Mus musculus: one gene and its partners. The protein of the gene in region 3 interacts with the protein of the main gene of each other region in a pairwise test. Links are inferred from orthologs where the notes say so. Each region holds a gene or a part of one and is shown on either strand. Other genes may lie near its edges.

Evidence for each region.
Region 1: the proteins of Ccnh (region 3) and Znrd2 interact in binary tests that used the Homo sapiens proteins (3 or more experiments, as listed by UniProt). The two-hybrid records come from large-scale screens. The link is inferred for Mus musculus from reciprocal best matches to the Homo sapiens genes CCNH and ZNRD2.
Region 2: the proteins of Ccnh (region 3) and Sfn interact in binary tests that used the Homo sapiens proteins (3 or more experiments, as listed by UniProt). The two-hybrid records come from large-scale screens. The link is inferred for Mus musculus from reciprocal best matches to the Homo sapiens genes CCNH and SFN.

The regions. Positions count from the first base shown.
Region 1 is NC_000085.6:5,728,124-5,735,394, forward strand, and holds Znrd2 (protein ZNRD2), read right to left. Parts: upstream 3,610-7,271; 5' UTR 3,572-3,609; coding exon 3,553-3,571; intron 3,473-3,552; coding exon 3,321-3,472; intron 3,203-3,320; coding exon 3,118-3,202; intron 2,590-3,117; coding exon 2,246-2,589; 3' UTR 2,183-2,245; downstream 1-2,182. Other genes in the region: Fam89b (leucine repeat adapter protein 25), read right to left, coding at 467-745, 1,114-1,404. UniProt on the Homo sapiens protein: Might play a role in mitosis. Antigenic molecule. Could be a centromere-associated protein. May induce anti-centromere antibodies.
Region 2 is NC_000070.6:133,597,796-133,604,839, forward strand, and holds Sfn (14-3-3 protein sigma), read right to left. Parts: upstream 4,374-7,044; 5' UTR 3,975-4,373; coding exon 3,228-3,974; 3' UTR 2,761-3,227; downstream 1-2,760. UniProt on the Homo sapiens protein: Adapter protein implicated in the regulation of a large spectrum of both general and specialized signaling pathways. Binds to a large number of partners, usually by recognition of a phosphoserine or phosphothreonine motif.
Region 3 is NC_000079.6:85,207,595-85,215,038, reverse strand, and holds the end of Ccnh (cyclin-H), read right to left. Parts: intron 6,262-7,444; coding exon 6,150-6,261; intron 3,186-6,149; coding exon 3,125-3,185; intron 2,300-3,124; coding exon 2,261-2,299; 3' UTR 1,308-2,260; downstream 1-1,307. UniProt on the Homo sapiens protein: Regulates CDK7, the catalytic subunit of the CDK-activating kinase (CAK) enzymatic complex. CAK activates the cyclin-associated kinases CDK1, CDK2, CDK4 and CDK6 by threonine phosphorylation.

The DNA of each region.
Region 1 (7,271 bases), on a different chromosome or scaffold from region 3:
TGGCCGCTAAACTTAAATATCCAGCATAAAGACCTTAGCCTTTCTGGTCGTGGGTGGCTACAGAGGTGGGTTCTGGAGCCCTTGTCCCAGGCAATGAACCCCTGGGGCCACTGGTAGGGATGCCGCTGAGCCAGCAGCTGCAAGAGGCAGCAAAAGACGAAAAAGAGATGAGAGCTAGGCACTCATCCCAGTCCCAGAGATGCAAACGGGAGTGCAAGACGCTTTGGGCCCCACAGTCAGACTAAGGGCTGGCCAAGCTAGGGTGCACACATGTGGGAGAAGTGGAAGCCCAGGACACTGGGCACAGGCTGCAATCTTGACCGCTTTGCCTGATGGGTATAATGCCTTGCCCTCCTGAAGTGAGGTGAGGTGGTACCGGTAAAAGAGCAGGCACTGTAGACTAAGGACTTGCTGAAGGGCAAGTTTTGAGCCTTTTGTATGGGTGCGTTCCTATCCACCTCAGCTTTCAAAGGCTGATTTGGAAAGCATCCTGCAACCACTGGTCACGGGCATTGTGAGTCTGGGGTACGGTGAGGGGTGGAGGGTCTGGGGGCAGGCTGGCATCAGGAGGCTCCTCGTCATCAGACAGGCCGGCATCAGGTGGGTAGGAGCTGTCCGAGTGCAGAGAGGATGACAGGTCCTGGCACAAGCTCAGGTCTTGGCACAGATGCTTGTAGTCCTGGATCGACTCGTACAGGCCCCACAGCTGGCACAACAGGGACATATCCAGCTGTCGCAGCCCCACCTACAGACAACTGACAGTGGGCTGGAGTTGGGGGTCCGGGCCACCCCCAGAATTCCCACCGTGGACGACAACCCTATCCAATCTTCCTGCACCTTTAAGTGAAAGTTCTGAGAACAGATGGTACTTGCCAACTGTGAAACCTTCCAGCCAGTCCTTGGCCCTCATTTATACAATGGGGTAACATTGTCCAGCAAGATGAAATCAGGCAAGTTTTTAAAAATGCAACAATTGCTACACATTACTATCAGTGCTGTCCTAAAGCCCCGTGACCAGATGCTTCCTGCTGGACCTGAGATGAGGAAGCGGATCCCAGACTTATTTCTGCCCTCTTCAGAGCTACTACCCTGGCGAGGCGCCCACCTACTCACCATCTCCTTGCGCAGCGCGGCTAGTGCAGAGTCGAGGTTAACCGGGCGGCGCGGGCCCGCTGCAGAACCTGAGTTAGCAGATCCAGCGGCATGGCGAGGACCATCCGGGGCGCGGGCGGCACGACTCAGTTCGTCGTGGATGCGGCTCCGTTGGCTGTAGACACGCTCCAGCTCCCTCCACGAGCCCCCACTAGCGTTAAGAAGGCCGCTGAGGCCGCGCGGTAGCGGCGGGAGCCCGGCCAGAGCGCAGCCCGCGCCGCCCGGCGCCTCAGTCGCGGGCAGCCCGTTCATAGCCAGGCAGGCGTGGACCACGATGCCGCCTGGACCCCTCTTACGTTTTCAGCGGGCTGTTGCCCAGAGAACCAGCTCTCCGTGGCCCGGTCTCCGGAGAGATCTCAGCCACCGCCCGCAGGCCGTGCTTTGTTCCGTCCCCGACTCCTAGGACTCCGCCTATGCTCCACCCCCCTGCATGGGCGGGGCCTCTCTTAACGCGGCGATGACCCTGGAGCGAAAAACCCATCAAAGAACTGGATGGGACAGGGGAGGCCGAAAGGGTCAGAAACGGTTTTTTGGCGACCTTTTGCTGCCTCATTCCTATACAATGTGTCCTCTCCCAAGGGAAGGATTCTAAAAGCACGGGGATGTGGGAGGCCCGAGTCTGGGGTAGGAAGGTAAGACTGTGCCTGACTCTTACAGTGCATCACTGCCCCTCCCCACAATTTGTCAACATCCTAGCAGCCAGAAGATGGAGAAAGATGGTAGAGTCAGGATGGTTAAAGGAAGGAAAGGAAGCCACCAAAGGGACTGAAACTTCAAATGGCACTCAAGTGGAGGAAAGGGGGTACTGGGTCAGAGACAATGATTAGTGGCCCAGCCTTTGGGAAGACTGAGGTCAGTCCTTGGAATAAGGTGTCACTTATCCCTCTGCCATTTACTTCTTGTCCTGAATGCAGAACTTCACCATTCAGGTAGAAAAGACCATGGAAAGGTGAGATGCCAAAAGCAAGGAAAACCATCGAGGAGAACTGGGGCTCACATGCACACTCAGAACCAAGAAAGAACAAACCACGCGGAGGAAAAACTGTTTTTCTGGAGGGTTTTTCTCAGGGGAACAGGGATCAGGATAGAGGTCTCAGTGATCCAGCTGTTTCAGGCTGCCTAGGGCCTCGGCGCAAGCCCGGATAAGCCCACAGAGCTGGATACTAGTCTCCAAGGAGGTGCTAGAGCCCAGCTCGACTGACGCCCAGGTTAGCTTCTGCAGGAGGGCCGTCTGTGTGGAAGCCACCGCGTCCGTATTTGGAGGTGCAGCCGGAAGAGGAGGCGCCTGGGCTGCCTTGAGCCCGGCTGCTGCGCCTTCACAGTGCTCTGGACGGGGTACTGGTGGCTGGGATGGGGGCCGAGAGCTCGAGGCAGGCTCTGTAGATGAGGCCAGCTGGTGTTCCCGAGCTTGAGAGAGCGCCGCCTGTGCATTCAGTGCTAGAACAAGAAAAGTGGTGGAAGAGTGAGGGTGCCCCGTCCGCCTCTCCCGAGTCATGTGCTCTTTACTGATGTCCCTGAGCTGCTGGTGTTTTCTGCCTAAGCCAATCCCATCTCATCTCTACTCTTCTTTCTCCTTACACATGCTTGCCAAACACTGCCCCACTGATTTACACTTGAGGTCCAGTTGCTTGACAGATGGCCTGGCCTCATCTATGCATCAAGTCTATTCCTGTAAACTGGGATGCCCGCCCTTCAGTGGTAAAATGCCTGTCCAACATGCACAAGCACCCAGGGTTGCACGTGCACTCTACAACGTAGGATGACTATTTTGCTAGGACTCTCCCCACGGTGTCAGAAACAAAAGGCTGATGGTCTTTCTTGAATGAAACACCTCTCTAGGGCGGAAACGAGAAGGCACCTTAATGCCACAGCACGCAGGAGTTTCCACTGTCACCTCCCAGGCTCACAGTTCCTCTGTAGCTATCGCCACTCTCTTCTCCCCACAGTGCACACTCGGACCCTCACCCGGGTTATCTTTATCCACGTCTGAGTCGAGCTCCTGACAAGCCACACAGTAGATTTTCCGCTGTTTATCTTGCAGGAGGATCGTCTGGGGACCAGAAAGTACATGGACATAGGTGAGCCGGAGAGACAGGGTTCACAGAAGAGGGAGCTGAGGAAAGGTCGTGCGGCCCGGTCCGCGGCCTCGGCCTCATCACTCGCCTCACCCCGCAGTCGGCGCACGTGTCGCCCAGCATGCGGTAACCACGGAGCAGGTAGTCCCCCATCAGACGGGAGATGCGATCCTGCCGCTCCCGTCGCGCCTGCAGCACCTTCGTCTCAGCTTCAGTCGGAGGCTCCCAGGTGAAATCGTCGACATCTAGAGAAAACAGGCACAGGAGATAGAGAGAGCTGCCTCCCGCACCCCACGGCCACTGCCCAAACATCCCAAGCGCATACCTGCACCGTTCAAGGCCATGTTGCCGTGGTCACTGCTGGGCTCACCGGAAGTGATCCAAATAAGATGCGCCCCCACTACGGCCCCGCCTCCCACATGTGGTAGCTGAGGGCGGAAGTGACGCTTACACGGTCTTCCTGGCGCTTTAGTCAAAGGGGGGGCGTGTCTGCTGCACATTTGACCCTGACCTACGGGCTCGGCTGGTGGCCAGAGCTATGGTTGGGTACCACCGTCTCCCTGGTAACGCTTCAGTACTCGGGTGTGGCTTTTCAGAGTCTCCATTTCTACTTGCCTCAGATAAAGTGGCCCTTAGGTCTGTGAAATACCCGATTCCCTCAGGGTTGTCTTTCCACACAGGGGAAGCAGGAGATGGGCAGGACCATGACATCTGCCCAACAGTCACTGCAATAAAAAGTTCTCTAAATCTTTCAAACTAGGCTAGCTACACTGAGGTCGTTTTCTGCCTATTTCAACACTCCTCCCTGTTTGCGTGTTGGGTGTCCTCTGTCCACCTTCTACCAATGCCTAGAACTGATGTAAGCCTGCTGTCTTAGTTAGGACTAGTATAGCTGGGATTAACACCATGACCAAAAATAACTTGGGGAGGAAAAGGTTTGTTTCGCCGGGCATGGTGGCTCATGCCTTTAATCCCAGCACTTGGGAGGCAGAAGCAGGCGAATTTCTGAGTTCGAGGCCAGCCTGGTCTACAGAGCGAGTTCCAGGACAGCCAGGGCTACACAGAGAAACCCTGTCTCGAAAAGCCAAAAAAAAAGAAAAGAAAAGAAAAGAAAAGGTTTGTTTCACTCATGGTTCCATATAACATGTTCATCAAAAGCAGGAACTCAAGCAGGGCAGGAAGCTGGAGGCCATGGAGGAGTGCTGCTTACTGGCTTGCTCCTCATGGCTTGCTCAGCCTGCTTTGTTACAGAACCCAAGAGCAGCAGCCCAAGGATGACCCCACCTACAATGGGCTTGACCCTCCCCCACTGATCACTGGTTAGAAAGTGCTCTACAGGAGAGCCCACCAGATCTTACGGAGGCATTCTCTCCTCTCAGAGGACTGTAGGGCCTGCTGGTGAAAATGGCTTATACTCGAGTGGGTTACAAATCAAGGACCAGTGCTCCTCATAATCCTGGGTTCTTTGCAAGAGCACCAAGTAATTAAAAGACCAAGGGCTGGAGAGATGGCTCATCGGTTAAGAGCCCTGGCTGCTCTTCCAGAGCTCCTGAGTTTAATTCCCAGCAACCACATGGTGGCTCACAACCATCTGTAAAAGGGCTAAGACACCCTTTTCTGGGGTGTCTGGAAATAGCTACCATATACTCACATGCATAAAATAAATAAGAGGAGGAGGAGGAGGAAGAAGGGGGTAGAAAGATGGCTCAGTTCTTTTTTAAAAATATTTATTTATTTATTATATGTAAGTACACTGTAGCTGTCTTCAGACACTCCAGAAGAGGGAATCAGATCTCATTACGTGTGGTTGTGAGCCACCATGTGGTTGCTGGGACTTGAACTCAGGACCTTAGGAAGAGCAGTCTGCGCTCTTTTTTTTTTTTTTTAAATTTATTTATTATATGTAAGTACACTGTACTTGTCTTCAGACATTCCAGAAGAGGACGTCAGATCTTGTTACAGATGGTTGTGAGCCAACATGTGGTTGCTGGGATTTGAACTCCGGACCTTTGGAAGAGCAGTCAGGTGCTCTTACCCGCTGAGCCATCTCACCAGCCCACGTCTTTTTTTTTTTTTTAAGATTTATTTATTTATTATATGTAAGTACACTGTAGCTGTCCTCAGATACTCCAGAAGAGGGCATCAGATTTCGTTAAGGATGGTTGTGAGCCAGCATGTGGTTGCTGGGATTTGAACTCGGGACCTTCGAAAGAGCAAACGGCACTTTTAGCCACTGAGCCATCTCGCCAGCCCCCAATGGCTCAGTTCTTAACAGCACTAATGGCTCTTGAGGACATGGGTTCGGTGCCCACATTCCACATGATGCCTCACACGATGCAGAACTGCAGTTCCAGGGATCACACACCCTCTTCTGACCTCTAAGGGCGTCAGACATGCACATAGTGCACAGGCTTGCATGCAGCAAAACATACACAAACATAAAAATAAACATAGCTAGACATAGTGGCACGTGTCTTTAATCCCATTACTCAGGAGGCAGAGGTAGGTGGGTATCTGTGAGAACAAAGAAAAATGGCACAGTATAGTATCTGAGTCATACACTTTCGCAGTGTGAAGCAGAGAATGTCAGTAGCAGAGCCCTTCCAACAACTTTCGGCTATAGACAACAGTGTTTTACATTACCCAGGAGTTGTGTATCAGTTAAGTAGATGCTCATTCTCTAAGGAGGCTGTGCGGGGGCTTCTGATCTTAATTCACTGTTATTGGCTCTTCTGGGATTGTCTCCATGTCTGCCTGATCTGTCACTGTGGCAAACAGAAAACATTATCAGTCATCACACTGTAAACACAAAATATACTAAGCCTCTGGTGCCCGGGCCACCACCAGTCCAGCTTGTGACATTTCCCAGAAGTTGAAGTTGTGAGGAGGGAGCCACAGGATACCTTGCATTGCCCCTGTCACTCCAGAGATATTAAAGGCACAGTAAGTGCCTCAGGTCCCATTGGCAGACTATGGTACTAACTCGCAGTACTGCCGTGGAGCGGTTTTATTTCGGTACAGCTTGCCAGCGCTAACGATACCACTGTAGATCTTGAGATGAATCTGTGTCGTTGAACATGCCCTTTACAACTAACAGTGGCAGGCCTTTTACCCCCAGATCCTCTCAACAATAGCTGATAACAACAGCCTGCTAGTGCTGTATGGTACTGTATTGCTGAGAGCTGAAATGACTTCCTCAAACCAACTCAAAAAGATTTCTGCGGGCTGGAGAGGTGACTCCGTGGTTAAGAGTACTGGCTGCTCTTCCAGAGGTCCTGAGTTCAAGGACTTCTGGTCCTTGGTTTCAGCTACCACATGGCTGCTCATAATCTTTTATAATGGTATCTGATGCCCTCTTCTGACATGCACTCTATCTGCACATAGGACACTCCTACAAAAACAGTGAAGCAACCTCACCTCTGCGTTTAACTGTGCCAAGGGAAGGACTCCTCTCGGCCATATCCTTTGTAATGATCAACTGAGAAATGTGTAGATTGAGCTGGAGCAATTTGGAAAATTCCAGGCTTCACACACACCATTCCAGGACATGGCACTGCACACTCACAATGGTCTCTGGCCAGCCTCAGGTGGAATCAAATGAGCACCTAGGAGATCTGAGCTCAGTGCTGAACCAGATCATCAGGGCTCCCTTGTCGGACCGACATGGGCTCTGGGTCATGGGTAGAACGGCTGTGCTGAGTTTTTGAGTCCTTTTTGACTCCTCTCTTTTTGAGTCCCTCAGCTGCGAGGAATCGAATACAAATGCCTTCATCTTCTCCTACCTGACTCTTCCAGTTGAATTGTCTGGGGTGGGGGTGCTTGGGTTAAATGTGGAATTCATGAGCCAGAGGAAGTTGGATTAAAGCTCTGGGCTAGCCTGGGCTACGTAGTAAGATGCTTTTTCGGGGGGGGGGGAGACTCATGGGTTTTGTGAGAGCGCAAAGAAGGTAACACCCGTGTCACCATGTCATATGAGTGGTGAGTAAGGACATCAGTGGGCTCTTTTCCCTAGCCCCTTGGATCCTTCCTTACCAACTGCTCCTA
Region 2 (7,044 bases), on a different chromosome or scaffold from region 3:
CTAGAACACTTCATTACCTCCAAAGACATTGTACCCATTAGTGGACATGAAGATTTTAAATAATTATTTGTGTGTATGTGTGTGTGTGTGTTGCCCACAGATCCCAAAAGTTCCCCTAGAGCTGGAATTACAGTGAACCTGAGGGTATGATATGAGGCCACGACCCTGGAAGAGAGGCAAGTACTTAACTACTGAGCTAGCTGGCAGCCTGGTTGGAAAAAGGTCCTGGTGAGTTCACTACATAGACCAGGCTGGCTTTGAACACACAGAGATCAACCTTGACCTCCTGTATGTGAACCAAGCCCAGCTAGACTGAAAGATTTGTTTTGTTTTTTTGTTTTCAAAACAGGGATCGTCTGTTTGTTTGTTTTCGTTGTCCTGGATATCCTGGAAAGGCAGACACCACCACCTCCAGCTTGATTTTAAATATCAAATCTAGACCAAGAAAAAATGGCCATAATTTAAAACTTTTTAAAATTGATTTTGATGTGAATGGGTGGTTTATCTCCATCTGTGCCTGTGTACCACCTGGGTAATACACTGGTGTCCATGAAGGTCAGTAAAGGGCATCAGATCCCCCTGGACTGGAGTTGCAGACAGAAGTTGGCTACTGTGTGGGTGCTGGGAACCAAACTCAGCCAGTGCTTTAACTGCCAAGCCAGCTCTCCACCCCATAATTTTTTTTAACCACCTCGTAGACCAAAAGGTCTGAGACCACTTTGGTACAAACCTACAGCCTTAGCCAGCTGTGATCCGGTGCTAATACACAGCCGGCTTCATGACCTGCCGCTGAGGGCCTCTCCCCTTGATTACCCTTAAGGCCAGCACAGTACCTTAGGACAGCTCCCATCCTCTCATACATGGTCTGGAGCCAACACACAGCAGGCAGACGCTGGCTGAGAGACACAGAAGTTCCTTTCCCAGGACCTACCCCATTAAGAGAAAGTCACCAGACCAGTCTAGTGGAAAGAAACCGGGTCACCTCCTGAGCTGAGGGGAGTTGCCTGCCCTAGTCCAGACTCTTGTGTGACTTTGGAACCTTGAAACCCAACACATCACCAGGAAGTGAAAAAACAGGACCCTGAATGCTCCAAAGAGGCCCAGTAACTTCTCTGAAGAATTATGGGCGGTAACAAGAGCAGAGTACTATGGGTGTGGCCAAACGTGGACTCTGGAGAACCCAGTAAATTTGACCTGAGTTCCCTTAATCCTTCCAGAAAGTTCTCTTGCTGCCAAGCTAGGCAGCCTTCTTAGGTGAGCACCCAGGTCAACTTTGACAGTGACTGAGCCTGAGGCTTGCTTATTCGGATTTGGGTTCAGAAATACTAGATAAATCCCAGATGGATTGACACTGGTTGGAATTAGTAACATTTTGAAGGTTTCACTCCCAACTCCCACCCAGTCTTGTCCTTCGTTTACTTAATCACTTTGTTTTTTATTTTTAGGCACGGGGGACCTGTCCTTGGACATTAGATAAACTGAGCCACACCCTAGCTCCCGGGAAGGGTCCACCCTGCCTCAGAGTGCTCAGGTTAAAGGCATCCGCCACCCTTCCGGGCCTAGGAAGCAACTTATTCAAAGGAGGACCCAAAAGTTGAGAGCCTCAAGCAAGGAGGCTGAAACCTTGCACCTTAGTAGAACCCCGCTTTTTACTTTTTCTAACTGTGGAACCTTTAGCGATGCAGAAGAGAAACTGAGGTCCTGGGAGGTGCTATGATTTTTTCCGGACTACAAATCAAGTCAGGGATACAACCCAAGCCTGCTGGCGACCAGCGCAGGTCTGCCTCCGAAGCTCGGGAGACGAGCATTTTGGCCTTTTTCCAGCCGATTTCAGCCGGCAGCCTGGTCCAGACATGGCCAGGTGAGTGGATGACTCAAAGGGCGGAGACTAAGTTTTGCGCGCGGCCCCGCCCTGTCCCGCTGCTCCCGGGGGTGGGGGACGAGCTCCCGAGTCGGGCGGGTGGCAACTTGTCTGAGTGAAACCGGGAAGGCGCCGCCCCGCTGCGCTCCCCGAGCCGCAACTTCTTCGTCTTTTCCAGAAGGGTAGCGCGGCCGACGGGGCGGGAGGACTCACCCTTCGCTCTCCCATTGGTCAACCGTGTCCCGGGGACGGGCTCTGTAGAGAGTCCGTCCAGTGATTGGGCCGTGGAGACGGCGGCGGGCTGCCCCGGGCTGGTGCGTGTCGCTGCCTGCCGGGCGCGCAGGCCGTGGGCTGCTCAGCCCAGCTCCCTGCGGCTCTTCCCACCCAGCTCGCGCCCGCTCCTCTTCAGCCGATTTCTTTTTGTCCCTGGGCCTTGGGGAGCTTTCCCTTATTTGATCTGTTTTATTGGAGGCACTATGCCCCTGCCTCAGATTGCACCCCTCGGCTCAGATCTGAGCACTTGACGTGACCGTTTCCCGCTTCTTAAAGTGAGGTCCCCAGTGCCACTTGTGAAGCGTGTCTCTTAAGGCCACTGTGCCCAAACTTCCCTGACTTCGCGGCTTTCCCGCCTACAGCCCCCACTCTCCTCTGCTCTCCTGACCTGCCTCTGTGCTCACCTGGCCTGAGCCGAAGCGCTGCGGGGACTTCCTGGTGGCCTCTCACCTGAAGTCACCCTACCCAAAATTTCCAGGTCACCGACACCGACCCAAAGGCTCGTCTCACTTCCAGGTCACCCAGACAGCCCCAAGGGACAGACCTAGCTCAGAGTTTCAGAGTCCGGTTCTCTTAACTCATTTCTAATTCTACTCTCAACCCATGGCCAATAACTGAAGAAGACCGAGTGTCACAGGGCAACTTTATTGAGTGGTAGCATGGTCACACCCAGCAAACGTGTTCCCTCTCATTCACTCTCTCTCTCTCTCTCACACACACACACACAGAGTTTCCCTCTCTCTCACACACACAGCCCTTGCCACAGTCCAGTTCTCAGCCACAGGGTGGGGAGCCTCCTGGATTATTCGGATCCAGAAGCAACAGGTGCCCGAGGGAGGCTCAGGGGGAGGAAGTGGGGAGGGGGTGCAGAGAGCAGGGGTGGGATGGGTTGGGAACACCCACCAGACAGCTACACGAAGAGTGAGATTCCCTGCCCTGGTGGCTTCAGCTTGGCTGCGCCCCCTTCAAAGGAGCCTTCCAAGGTGTGGCTGAACATTCAGGGTTTGGGAAGGGCAGAGTCCCACTCCGTTTTAGTCCTCTCTGCAGGCTGGGGACTGGAGGGCAAGGCGAGCCGGGGTGGTTGTCGGCTGCTTCAGCTCTGGGGCTCCTCCGGAGCCTCACCACCCTCTTCCCCAGCACTGTCGGCTGTCCACAGCGTCAGGTTGTCTCTCAGGAGCTGCATGATGAGGGTGCTGTCCTTGTAGGAGTCCTCACTGAGGGTGTGCAGGTCGGCCATGGCCTCGTCGAAGGTGGTCTTGGCCAGCGAGATGGCCTCCTCGGGGCTGTTGGCTATCTCGTAGTGGAAGACTGAAAAGTTCAGGGCCAGGCCCAGGCGGATGGGGTTGGTAGGCGGCATCTCCTTCTTGCTGATGTCCATGGCCTCCTGGTAGGCTGACCGGGCAGAATCGATGATGCGCTTCTTGTCATCGCCAGTGGCCACCTCGGCTAGGTAGCGGTAGTAGTCACCCTTCATCTTCAGGTAGAAGACGCGGCTCTCTGCATCTCCAGCCCCTTTGATGAGGTGCGAGTCCAGCAGGCCGAGTACGGTGTCGCACACACCTCTGAGCTCGGTCTCTACCTTCTCCCGGTACTCTTTCACCTCGGGGCCCTTCTCTTCTGACCCCTCCTCGTTGCTCTTCTGCTCGATGCTGGACAGGACCCTCCAGGCCGCTCTCTGGCCGCCCACCACGTTCTTGTAAGCTACGGAAAGCAGGTTTCGCTCCTCGCAGGAGAGCTCCTCGCCCTTTTCCACGGCGCTCTTCATGAAAGCTGCCATGTCTTCATACCGTTCGGCCTGTTCAGCCAACTTGGCCTTCTGGATCAGACTGGCTCTCTCCATGACTGCGAGGATGGACAGACAGACGGGCGAACTGGCTGTCTCGAGAGTAACGCTGGGTTCTGCGGCTCCCTTGCTCTGGCTCTGCCTTTTGGCTGGGGTGGCATGGCCCTGAGAAGAGTTGGGCGTGGTCTGAGCGGGCCTGGGCCCTGCCTCCTCCTAGTCTTCGCCACACCCTTTCCGGCTCTACCTTTAAGGTAAAAGGGCTGGGACGGGAGGGGGCTGTGAGTCACCAGGACAGTCAGCAGGAGAAACCTGGCCGCAGGTCCCACCTGCAAAGGCACCTTTCGGCTCCAGACTGCCCCCTGCAGTTCAGGGCTGGCTGCATTGCAGGAGCGTCTTGGATTACCAAATCAGATTGTCTTTCAGGGTGATCTTCCAGGCTTCAGCCACCGAGCTGCTTTAGCCCAGGCAGAGCCCAGGGAGCTGGGACAGTTCAGGTGAGAACTCATGTATAGGTAGGGCTGTACAGTTTCCCCCAAACTTGCGCATCCATGATCTGATGCAACTACCCCCAACCCCCGAATTGGCTCTGTAGGACTGTAGAGGTAGAACTATCAAGTCTCAGGGGTGAACCAAACCAGTTTGAGGTCACAAGCTGCCAGCTCCCTTAAACCCCTCCCCCTCCGTGTCCCCTCTTCCTCTTGGCTCTCTTTGGGGGCCATTAGCTGAGCCGGCCTGAAGATAGCTCCATCCCTTGGTCCTTGTTCTCCCTCAAGATGCCCTATGAACACCCCAGATGCGCAGGTGGCATCTCAGGGTGCCACTTAATGAAGTGTTTAACGAGCGGCCTCTGACGCTCCAGCCCAGCCTTTGTAATTAGTCACCCAATATGTTTGTTGGACACCTTCCCCCTTACAGCACAATTTTCCCTTTCAAGTTGGTGGCCTGTTGACACTTGTCTGAGACTTTACTCTCTGGTTCTCCACATCGGGTCACCCGTCCCTTCCAAGCTGCCTGTCGTCATGTATCGGCAGGGTTCCCAGAGGGTGGGGGCCTAACTCTTTGACTGTCCCACTCCCCTGCCTGACTCAGATTACCTCTGTCAGAGGCTGGGAAGCAGGCCACCTGGGTGCTCAGTCCAGTTTGGTCCCCCAGGGGGGACGCTATCAACCTGGGGAGGAAGACAGGGCTGAGGGAAAGGAGCTGGGAATGGCACATTCCATTTTGTTTTATGGCGCAGTGTGTGATTCCAGCCCAGTATGATCCCTCACTTGGCTCCCAGAGGTTCTCAAGTCCCTTCAAGACTCTGCCTCTGACCCCTGAGAGAAGTCTCCTTGGAGATGGAGATCACTTTGTTCCCAATCTTCCATCCCTGATTGGTTGGGCCCTATTTTCAAGGCCCATGATAAGAATGGGCACTGAGGGTGTGTTCCTGCTTATGTGCCCCACCACATTCTTCAAGTTTAGATGGGACTCCGTGGTTCCTTCTAAAGAAGTTTCTTCCTAGGACCCAGCCAGTCTAACCCTTGAAGCAGGACTATTGCACAACCTTGCCTGTCTCCTCACAGTGTCTGAGCACTCGCCTTGCCTCCGGGAGAGGTGTTGTAGGCCAGAACCCTGAACAGGCTGGAATGTGCTTGGGCCACGGAGTAGGGGCTCTTGAGAGACTTCAGGGTCCTGGCTAATTTTACAGGTTCTCCCAGGAAGCAGATGGGATTTCTGTCCTGAGATCTTGCGTGCTTTGCCTAACTCATGGCACAGGCACAGAACTACAGTAAAACATCAAGTTAGGGAAGACCACGGTAGTGTACGGCTAGAGTCTGAGCATTTAAACTCACACAGGGGACATGCCAGTTGGTGACTGGCTTTGCCACAAGGGAAACATGTTACCCCCACCCTGGGGAAAAGCAGAGGCTGGGAGTGTGTCTTGGTTGGTAGAGTCCCTGCTAGTGTGTATGGAGTTTGCTCCCCAGTCCTGTATAGACAGGTGCACATCTGTAATCCTAACACTTAACAGGCAGAAGCAAGTATCTCTCTGAGTTCTAGCCCAGTCTGGTCTATATATGGACTGCCACCATGTTTGCTTTAGCAGCGGTGCCGGGGTTATACCCAGGGTTTCCAAGAACTCTACCGACTGAATATATCCTCAGCAACCCCCTCCCTGTTTTGGGGTTTGAGCTGGGTTCTATGGGATGAGGAAAGATCCTAAACTCTCCGCACCCCGTGGCCCAGCCGGGTGTCCACAGAAGAGTCGGGGTCCTCAGTCCAAACTCTTTCCTCTCCAGACTGACAAACTGTTTGGCACAGTAAGCATTGTCTCCTCCCTTTCCGTTGGGAGAATTCTCCTCAGCCTTGAAGGGCCTTCCTTGGCTCTCAGCCTGGCCTGGGCTTCCCCAAGTCCTGGGGGCAACTTGGAAACCCCAGGACACTAGGAGTCTGGACGGTGGGGCTTGGCAAACTTGAAACTTCTTCTAAGCCTACGAAGGGCGTGTTCTCCTCGTGCCTCTTAAGCCAGGAAGCTGGTGGGGGTTTACAGCTGCAGCTCAGTTCTAGACCCTCTTCCTCCTCCACCGAAGCCAGGCCTTGACACCCCTGCCAGCTCCGGCCTGCATATCCTGACTCAGTTCCTGCTTCAGTTGCCTCCCTTTGCCTCCAGGCTTCTACTTCCCAAGTCCAGAAGCCCAGGCAGGCAGGAGGCAGCAGGCCCTGGCAAAGCATGGGACTCCAAAGCAGCTGCCTGAGTCAGCAGGACAGGAGACAAGGTCCAGTGTGTGTGTGTGTCTGTGTGTCTCTGTTGTGTGTCTGTGCGGTGTTCTTCATCCTTTCTGGAGCATCCGATCTCAGCAAGAGGGATTCTTATTAAGAGTTAGAAAGAGGCCGGGTGTGGTGGTGCACGCCTTTAATCCCAGCACTCGGGAGGCAGAGGCAGGCGGATTTCTGAGTTCGAGGCCAGCCTGGTCTACAGAGTGAGTTCCAGGACAGCCAGGGCGACACAGAGAAACCCTGTCTTGAAAAACAAAAAACAAACAAAAAAAAAAAAAAAAAAAAAGAGTTAGAAAGAATAGACCACAACTGGCAAAACCTTTTCTTTTCTAGTAACTTCCTAGGTCATTTCTGCCTTTGGGAGGAT
Region 3 (7,444 bases):
TTTCTTCCCACTATAGGGATAGTTCAAGCTTTAATATCAGAGCAAAATCAGGGTTATTTTTATTGTTTCTTTCACAAAGGAGTCCATTTATTTACTCAATATACAACTTGTTAATTGAAGACCGGATTTAAAAACAGTATGTAGCAGAGGATTCTTAGTGATCAAAATAGGTTTGTTGTTTTCTTTTTTTAAAGAACCACCAAGGGAGGTACTAAGGAAGGTATTAATAAAGTTTTCTCAATAAAAATATTTTTCTGAAGGCCTAGATCCATAAAGCATTCGATTGTATTTCTCAAGAGATATTGTATACAAGGAAAAATGTTAAGTAATCAAGGTCTATTTCCCTTTGCTGAGGATCAAACTGAGAGGCCTAAATTGTATTCTTTAGAATATTATTGAGAGATTTCCCTAGCTTACATATAGGGCTGAATGCTACCATAAAGGTAAATTTACTCTCCTCACATAGTTTCAATCAAGTTAACGGTGGTAACAAAACAACAACAACAAAACCTGCTTCTTGGCTTTGTTGTCAATGCAGTTCCCATTGTTGATGTTGACAGTAACTCATCTCTGTCCTTAGTTTATAACGTGGAAAGGCTACAGACAAATTAATGTAAATATGGACTTTGGCAAACAGGGAGAGATCCGGACTCTAAGGCATTTTAGTTTGTCCTCACTGACTGTGAGTGTTCGGCCATGACAGCCTATTTGCCAATTTTTTTTTTTTAAGCCTGAAATGCTTCTCCCTTTTCTACCATTTATTTTAAAAGAAATCTGACTTATCCTCATTTTTGTATTATAGTGACATGCTCTGTCTTTTAAATTGGAGTGGGAAACGTGTTATTTACCTTCTTAGGCCCTGTAGTAACTAGGTGGTCAGTGATGAAATAAAATCTTTCAAACCTATTTTTAATGGGGATGGATAGGAAATTTTCAGAGAAAGATGTGGCCCTTGCTTTAATGCCAAATTTTTAATGATATGAAAGAAAAGCAGACACACTGCGAGCACTTGCAGTTCTGTCTATAGTCTAGCATGTTGTTCTACTTGAACTATACTTGGGCAGAGGAGTGTTCATTTTTACTCTACTTTTATAAAACCCTACAAATAAACTCAAGCCATAAAAATATTAGAGATGAAAATGCACATAGAGTAAACACCATTTACAAAAAAACATAGCTAAAATGCTACCTACCCTCCTGGGAAGTGTATCATGGAATATGTAAGCTAGGTAGATTTAGATTCAAAGTTGATTTTCTCAGAATTTCTTCAAGCCGGTGTTGCAGAAAAAGAAACATCAAAACAAAACACTGGTCTAATATATGCATATCTATCTTTATTTTGGTCTTAACTGTAACACATATTATTAATATACAGCAAATACATACTAGTATGTCAAGCACTGCTGTGACTAATCCCATCAGGAGCAGGCATTATTTTCCCCAATCTGTATTTGGGAAAATAGCACATTGAGGTATATAATTAACTAAAGTCATAGAAAAGTAGAGGCATATGTTTTGGGTTTTTATATTAAGTTATTTAACTTTAAATTTTTGCATATAATTTTTCTACAGATTTCTAGTCACTATAATGCCAACTTTATAAGGATTTACTGAGAGGTAATCATTTAATGATAAAATTGACTATATCATTTACTATGACTTATCTGTAGAAATTTAAGATTTTTTTTTATCTATACTCAAAAATTCTATTTTTATTTAAACCTAGAAGATATCTGTAACTGCATGTAATAAAATTTAGCACCTAAGTACTACGTAAGTGCCCAGTACATTCTCCAGCTTAGTAATGAATCATCAATAGTTCAGTCTACTGGAGAGACATCTGAGAAGCATTTGTAAGGGCTTCTGGAGGATAAAACCTATTTTCTTAACTTTTCAGATGTTTACCTATTGTTCAGGTTTTTTTTTTTTCTAGTATAATGCTTCTAAATGGAAAGGTTTGTTTATTATAGTTTGTCTAAAACAATACAAGGAAGTGTAGCACAGTCTGACTTTGTCTACCACAGGAGGACATGGTTTGCAACTAATCCTAGTGGATTATGAATATTCAAACTAGGTGGCATTCACCCCTTTTGAAGCTATATGTTATATAAAACAATCACAAAGAAAATATATAGAACAACTAGAAAAGTTTAATATATTTTGATGTTTTCACATTGTACTATTTTTTTAAAAAGTAAAATGTCAGACATGCTTCCTACTTCCGTTGGTTAATAAGTACTGCTGCGGTCATTTATTATGGTTAGAGAGAATCTACCAGGTCGTCATCAGTCCATTCCTCCTAAAGGGAAAAGAATGTGGTAAGGGTAACATTGAAGTATTGAGCCATTTGTTGTTTACCTCCCTCCCTTTAAGAAATTGTGGATTGACAACAGTCTACTGTAGATGGGTTTTTTTTTTTTTTTTTGAGATAGTCTCCTATTATGCCTTCAGCCAGCTTTGGATCCTCTATACCTCAAGTGCTAACTACAGGTATGTGCTAAGTCCTGCACTTGACTGTGATAACGACATGGCAGCTGCCCACTCTGTGAGGAGTGAAAAGTTATCCTTTGCCTGTGCTTATTTATCCTTGACTTCTTAAGAGAGAGATTTTAAAACTGGGGTAAGGCAAGGAAAGAATCCTGAGAGAATAGATAAAATTTAGCATCACTGCCTTCTATCGTAGGAAGTTACTTCAGTCAGGTAGCTTACTTTAGAAGTGGTTCAGAGTCATGTGAAAACAGCCCATGCATAGGCTTCCTGATTAGCACCACATAACGAGCAGCTGCCAACGTGCTCCTGCCATGGACTCCATTCCCCCTGAACATAACCCAACATAAATCTTCCCTTTAACGATTTCTTTAAAACTTTTACTGTACATAAACAGGTGAGTAAAAATTTAATAATTTCAAACTTTAGAGGTACTTGTAGTCCTAGTATTCGGTGGGCTCAGGTCAAAAAAGAACTGGGAGTTTAAGACCAACTTGGGCTACAAAGCAAGACACTGTTTTAAACGTTCTCAGCCCCACCTCTCTATAATGCTTATAGTAGTTCAGAACATACACACTAGCTTAGGTCATGCCAGAAAGTGTAAGTTATAGCGAGTTCTCTTCAGGGGAAAACATACCTCTTCCTGTTTGGGTTTCTTTGACACATAGTCATCATCTTCATAGCCTTTCCTCTTCTTCCTATAATTAAGCAAGTATCGATTAGCAAAACTGTTAGTGGCAACAAAACCTATAAAATAAGCTAGCACGGCCATGTGAACATGTGGTAGCCCTCAGCTACAATGACAGTACTCGGACTAAGGCACCAGTATTGCCTTCAGTTCAGTCTAGCATGGGTTAAAAAAATGAGGCCCTATCTTCAAAAACAAAATACATTATGTACTGAAGAGTAGGGACTAGATAGCTGGAAAGGTATTATCTGTGGATACAAAGGCAATATTTAATATTTAATCCAGTGTAGCAAGAACCTACAAAGATGAAAACAACGAAAACGTTGAACATACCCATAAGTCCCAGTTCTTGTGACTCTAAGGAGATTATTGGATAATCATTGGTTACACTGTGATACCTGGCCTCAAGTAAACATAGCAAAGAGAATCTAGAGGGAAAAAATGTTGGAAGACCTTGTCTTGGTTATCATAAAAGCATACTAAAGTGGAGTGCAGTGGTGGCACACACCTGCAGTGCCAACACTCAGGTAGGATAGAATAATTGAGAATCTGAGGCGTCCTAAACCAGACCCTGTTTAGGAACAAATAAAAGGACACACTATAAAAGCTATGGTTATTAAGAATATGGTGTTGTTAATACATCGGCAGTCAAAGCAGGACAGGCAAAACTGGCTCTGCATATCTGGTGACAGACTCAGTGGGGTTAGACACCAAGATGGACAGCCTGGTTTGTTCCCCATGGCTGTATGGAAAGAGGAAAACTGACTCTTTTATGTTGTCCTCTGCTCTCCACACAGGTACTTGCTTATTAAGTACATAACTGAAATACAATAAATGATTTAAAAACTGGATATACCTTTTAATTTTATTTGTGATTAAAAATTGTCAACTAAGAAAACCATGAAATAATACTCAAAAACAAACTAGAAAAACTACAAATATTGGTTAAAAAACAAACAAGCCCCCCAAAGCCTTTACCCTTCCTAAGCATTTCTTTGGCAAAGTAGTGTAAGAAAAAACATAAATAGGATAAACATCTTTTTTAAAAAAGATGTTAATATATAATGTATTACAAGAATAAAATGCCAGAAGCAATGCAGAAAACTTACAAATGGCTATTAAATCTGGAAACATCAATAGTTACAGTAACCAGGGAAATGCAAATGGTCAAGGTGACTCTTATCTTTTTCACCCGGACTGGCAAAAGTTAAAGACTGGCAATGTTAAATGCATGATGTGGACACATTACTACAAACAAGTATTTCATGCATTTCTACAAAGAAAAGGTTGGCAGATGGTAGACCCATCTGGTAAGTGACTTCTGAGATCAAAATCTGTTTGATTAAAGGAAACATTGGTGTTTACTCAGTGGGTGACTTAGAAGAATACAGTAACTGTACAATGAAAAATAAAGGCAGAAATGTTAATGATCAAGGAAAAATAAATGCTTTGTGCTGAAGTACTACTACTTAGTGTTGTTCATGAACTGTTTCCAGCCTGCAGTGAGAGGAGCAGAACAGACACTATGTAGAAACTATACAGCAAATTGACAGTAACTTCTAACTGGTGAATCTAACAGAATTTAAACATATTTTTATGTATATTTCACTTTGGAGAAACTGATTGTATTTTATAATTTTTAAAGTCCTTCTTTTACAAAGAAATATTCAGACACTTACAAGAATGTAGAAATCTTTTTTGGCAGGGTTGGCAAAGCAAATGGCAACTTGGAATAAAATGTAAACTCTATCGATTAGAAATTTCTGGATTATGGCCCATTCCTTTACTAGCTAGAACAGAATTAATAGTCAAATGATCCAACTCTGAGGACAAATTAGTAAATACTTTATAGGCCATGCAGTTTCTGCCATAAGCACTTAACTTTTCTGCCACAGAATGAAAACAGCCACAATAATTATGTAAACCAATAATGGGCATTCTATCTTCCAATAACTGTTCTTTTCAAACTTAATGTAAGAACACAGTCAAGTGCTACAGTCCTTCTACTTACCAATGTGTCAACTTTAATTCTCTACAACCTTCTGATATTTACTAGTTACTACTGAAACCTACCAATTCAAGATTTACATGAAGACATGTTTTGAAGCTATATCTGTAAGACAACCGTCCTATAATTTGCACTCTGCAAGCCCTGGGAATCCTCTACTAAAACTACATTTAAGAAATTAAGCCATGACTATCTTGTGCTGAAGACTTTGGCATACTCTTCAGCTTTTTACACATATTTGTTAGCATTTCTCTAATAAAATAAATAAATAAATAAACATCTATAGCTATCACAGCTAATTCCCATTACATGTTAATAAGTAACAAGATTAGAGTCAATACATATAAAACAAAATCTTTTACTTGTATTATCACATGCTCAAAAATTAAGTTACAATGGATCTTTTATGTAGAGAATATGTATTTTATAGTAAATTCTACATTAGCCTACAAAGCAAGAGACATTAAATATGCTCTTATACTTACACAACCTAACAGAATATTTTACTCGTTCTCTGACACAATGCTTCCTTCCTTACTAGTTTATAAAAATTAAGTCTAAAACAGTACATTTGTTCACCAGAAAATATCAGGTTGGCTAAGAGACAAAGGTTTAACAATTTCATAGGAAGACTGGCTCCCAGTGATCCCATAACGTGGGAAAGCGAGCCAAGCTACACACTAACGATCAGGATCAACCTGTAGGGTGAAAGCCCAACATTCCTTCCTTATGTTTACTTCCACTAGAAATGTGCACATAGGCCAAGCTGGGGATGTGGACAAATAGAGAGCACTTGCCTATGGACAAGGCCCTGAGCTTGCCTCCCAACACAGACAAAATCAGTATACTCAACTTTTTATAAAGTTTGATTTAGGTGCTAAGACTAACAAACTTGTAACAGTGAAATAATTTAACAATTGAACTCAATGACTTTGTGAACATAACTTCTTTATCATGCCTACTTACGTAACCGCATTAAGTGCAAGGTCAGAAGAATGACACCGCTCCAGCTTCTGTTTCAGGACAGCAACCTCGTCAGACCTGGGCGGCTCGTACTTTTTTACTAGATTTCTCATGCCTACATGGGGATACAAACTCTTTTTTAATAAAAACTCAGCTAAATGTGGTGCCACATGCCTCCATCTCTACACTCTGGAGGCAGAAGCAGGTGGAACTGAGTTTGATGCCATCCTGGTCTAGAGTAAGTTCTAAGAAAGCCAGATCTACCCAGGAAAATCCTGTTTTAAAAAAAAAACCAAAACAAAACATCTGCTTTTGTATAAAAAAGCATAATAATCTAACTTGCTTCAGGAAACTGAAGACATTGGTGATAACATATTCTTACCAGGACTTGTATTCTGTATTAAAATCAAGCAGCAGCAGCTCTTAAAGTTCAAATAATATCTGCTATATGCCACACTATATATAGCATTAACATTAGCATGCTGTATATAATACTGGTAGTAATGTTTTCCAAGTGCCTCCATGTTTACATTTTGCTCAACTTAAAGCTTTTGAAATAATCCCTATGTGATTTAGTAAATATTCTTTATTCTCTACCACCAGCCATACACATGAACAATCTATCCCAAAATATACCCTCTTATTTACTAAGAATATAACATATAAAAAAAAACAAGGATGTTTCCTTAGCAAATCAAATGTTAAAAACAAACTATAGATCAGCAAAGATAAGACTATATACAATACTTTCTATCTTATCTTGTTATGTTTAACATAATAAACCAAAAATCTCAAGATTAGAAACATGATAGTCCAGGGACTTATTATATGGCCATGTGCTTTCAGACTGAAATTGGTATTTGTGATTAAACATCTTTAGATCACTATGTGTTTTTATAAAAAAAAATATGAATACCTTCATATTACTAAAGCTGAGTATTTTTGAAGCATTCTCCTTGTTTCATATTTATTAAAATAAGTGGAACAAAATAAAGACAATATAAGAAATCAATAATTAAACCACACACTTCAATAAGCAGTGTGTTTTCTTTATAGTCCCCTCTACTACCAAATTGTTAGAAAGTACTATTATAAAAAAAAAAACCAAAAAAAAAAAAAGTACTATTATCAAATCACAATCGGCTTTGGAAGTGAACCCTCTAGTGGTAAATATGAAGACCTACAGTTTATAGGGAAAAAAGACCAACCCTCTATTATGCTCAGAGGAAATCCAAAATTACTTAAAGCAAAGAATCACTTCAAGGCATGTAACTGCATGACTTGAATCTCATTTAAAA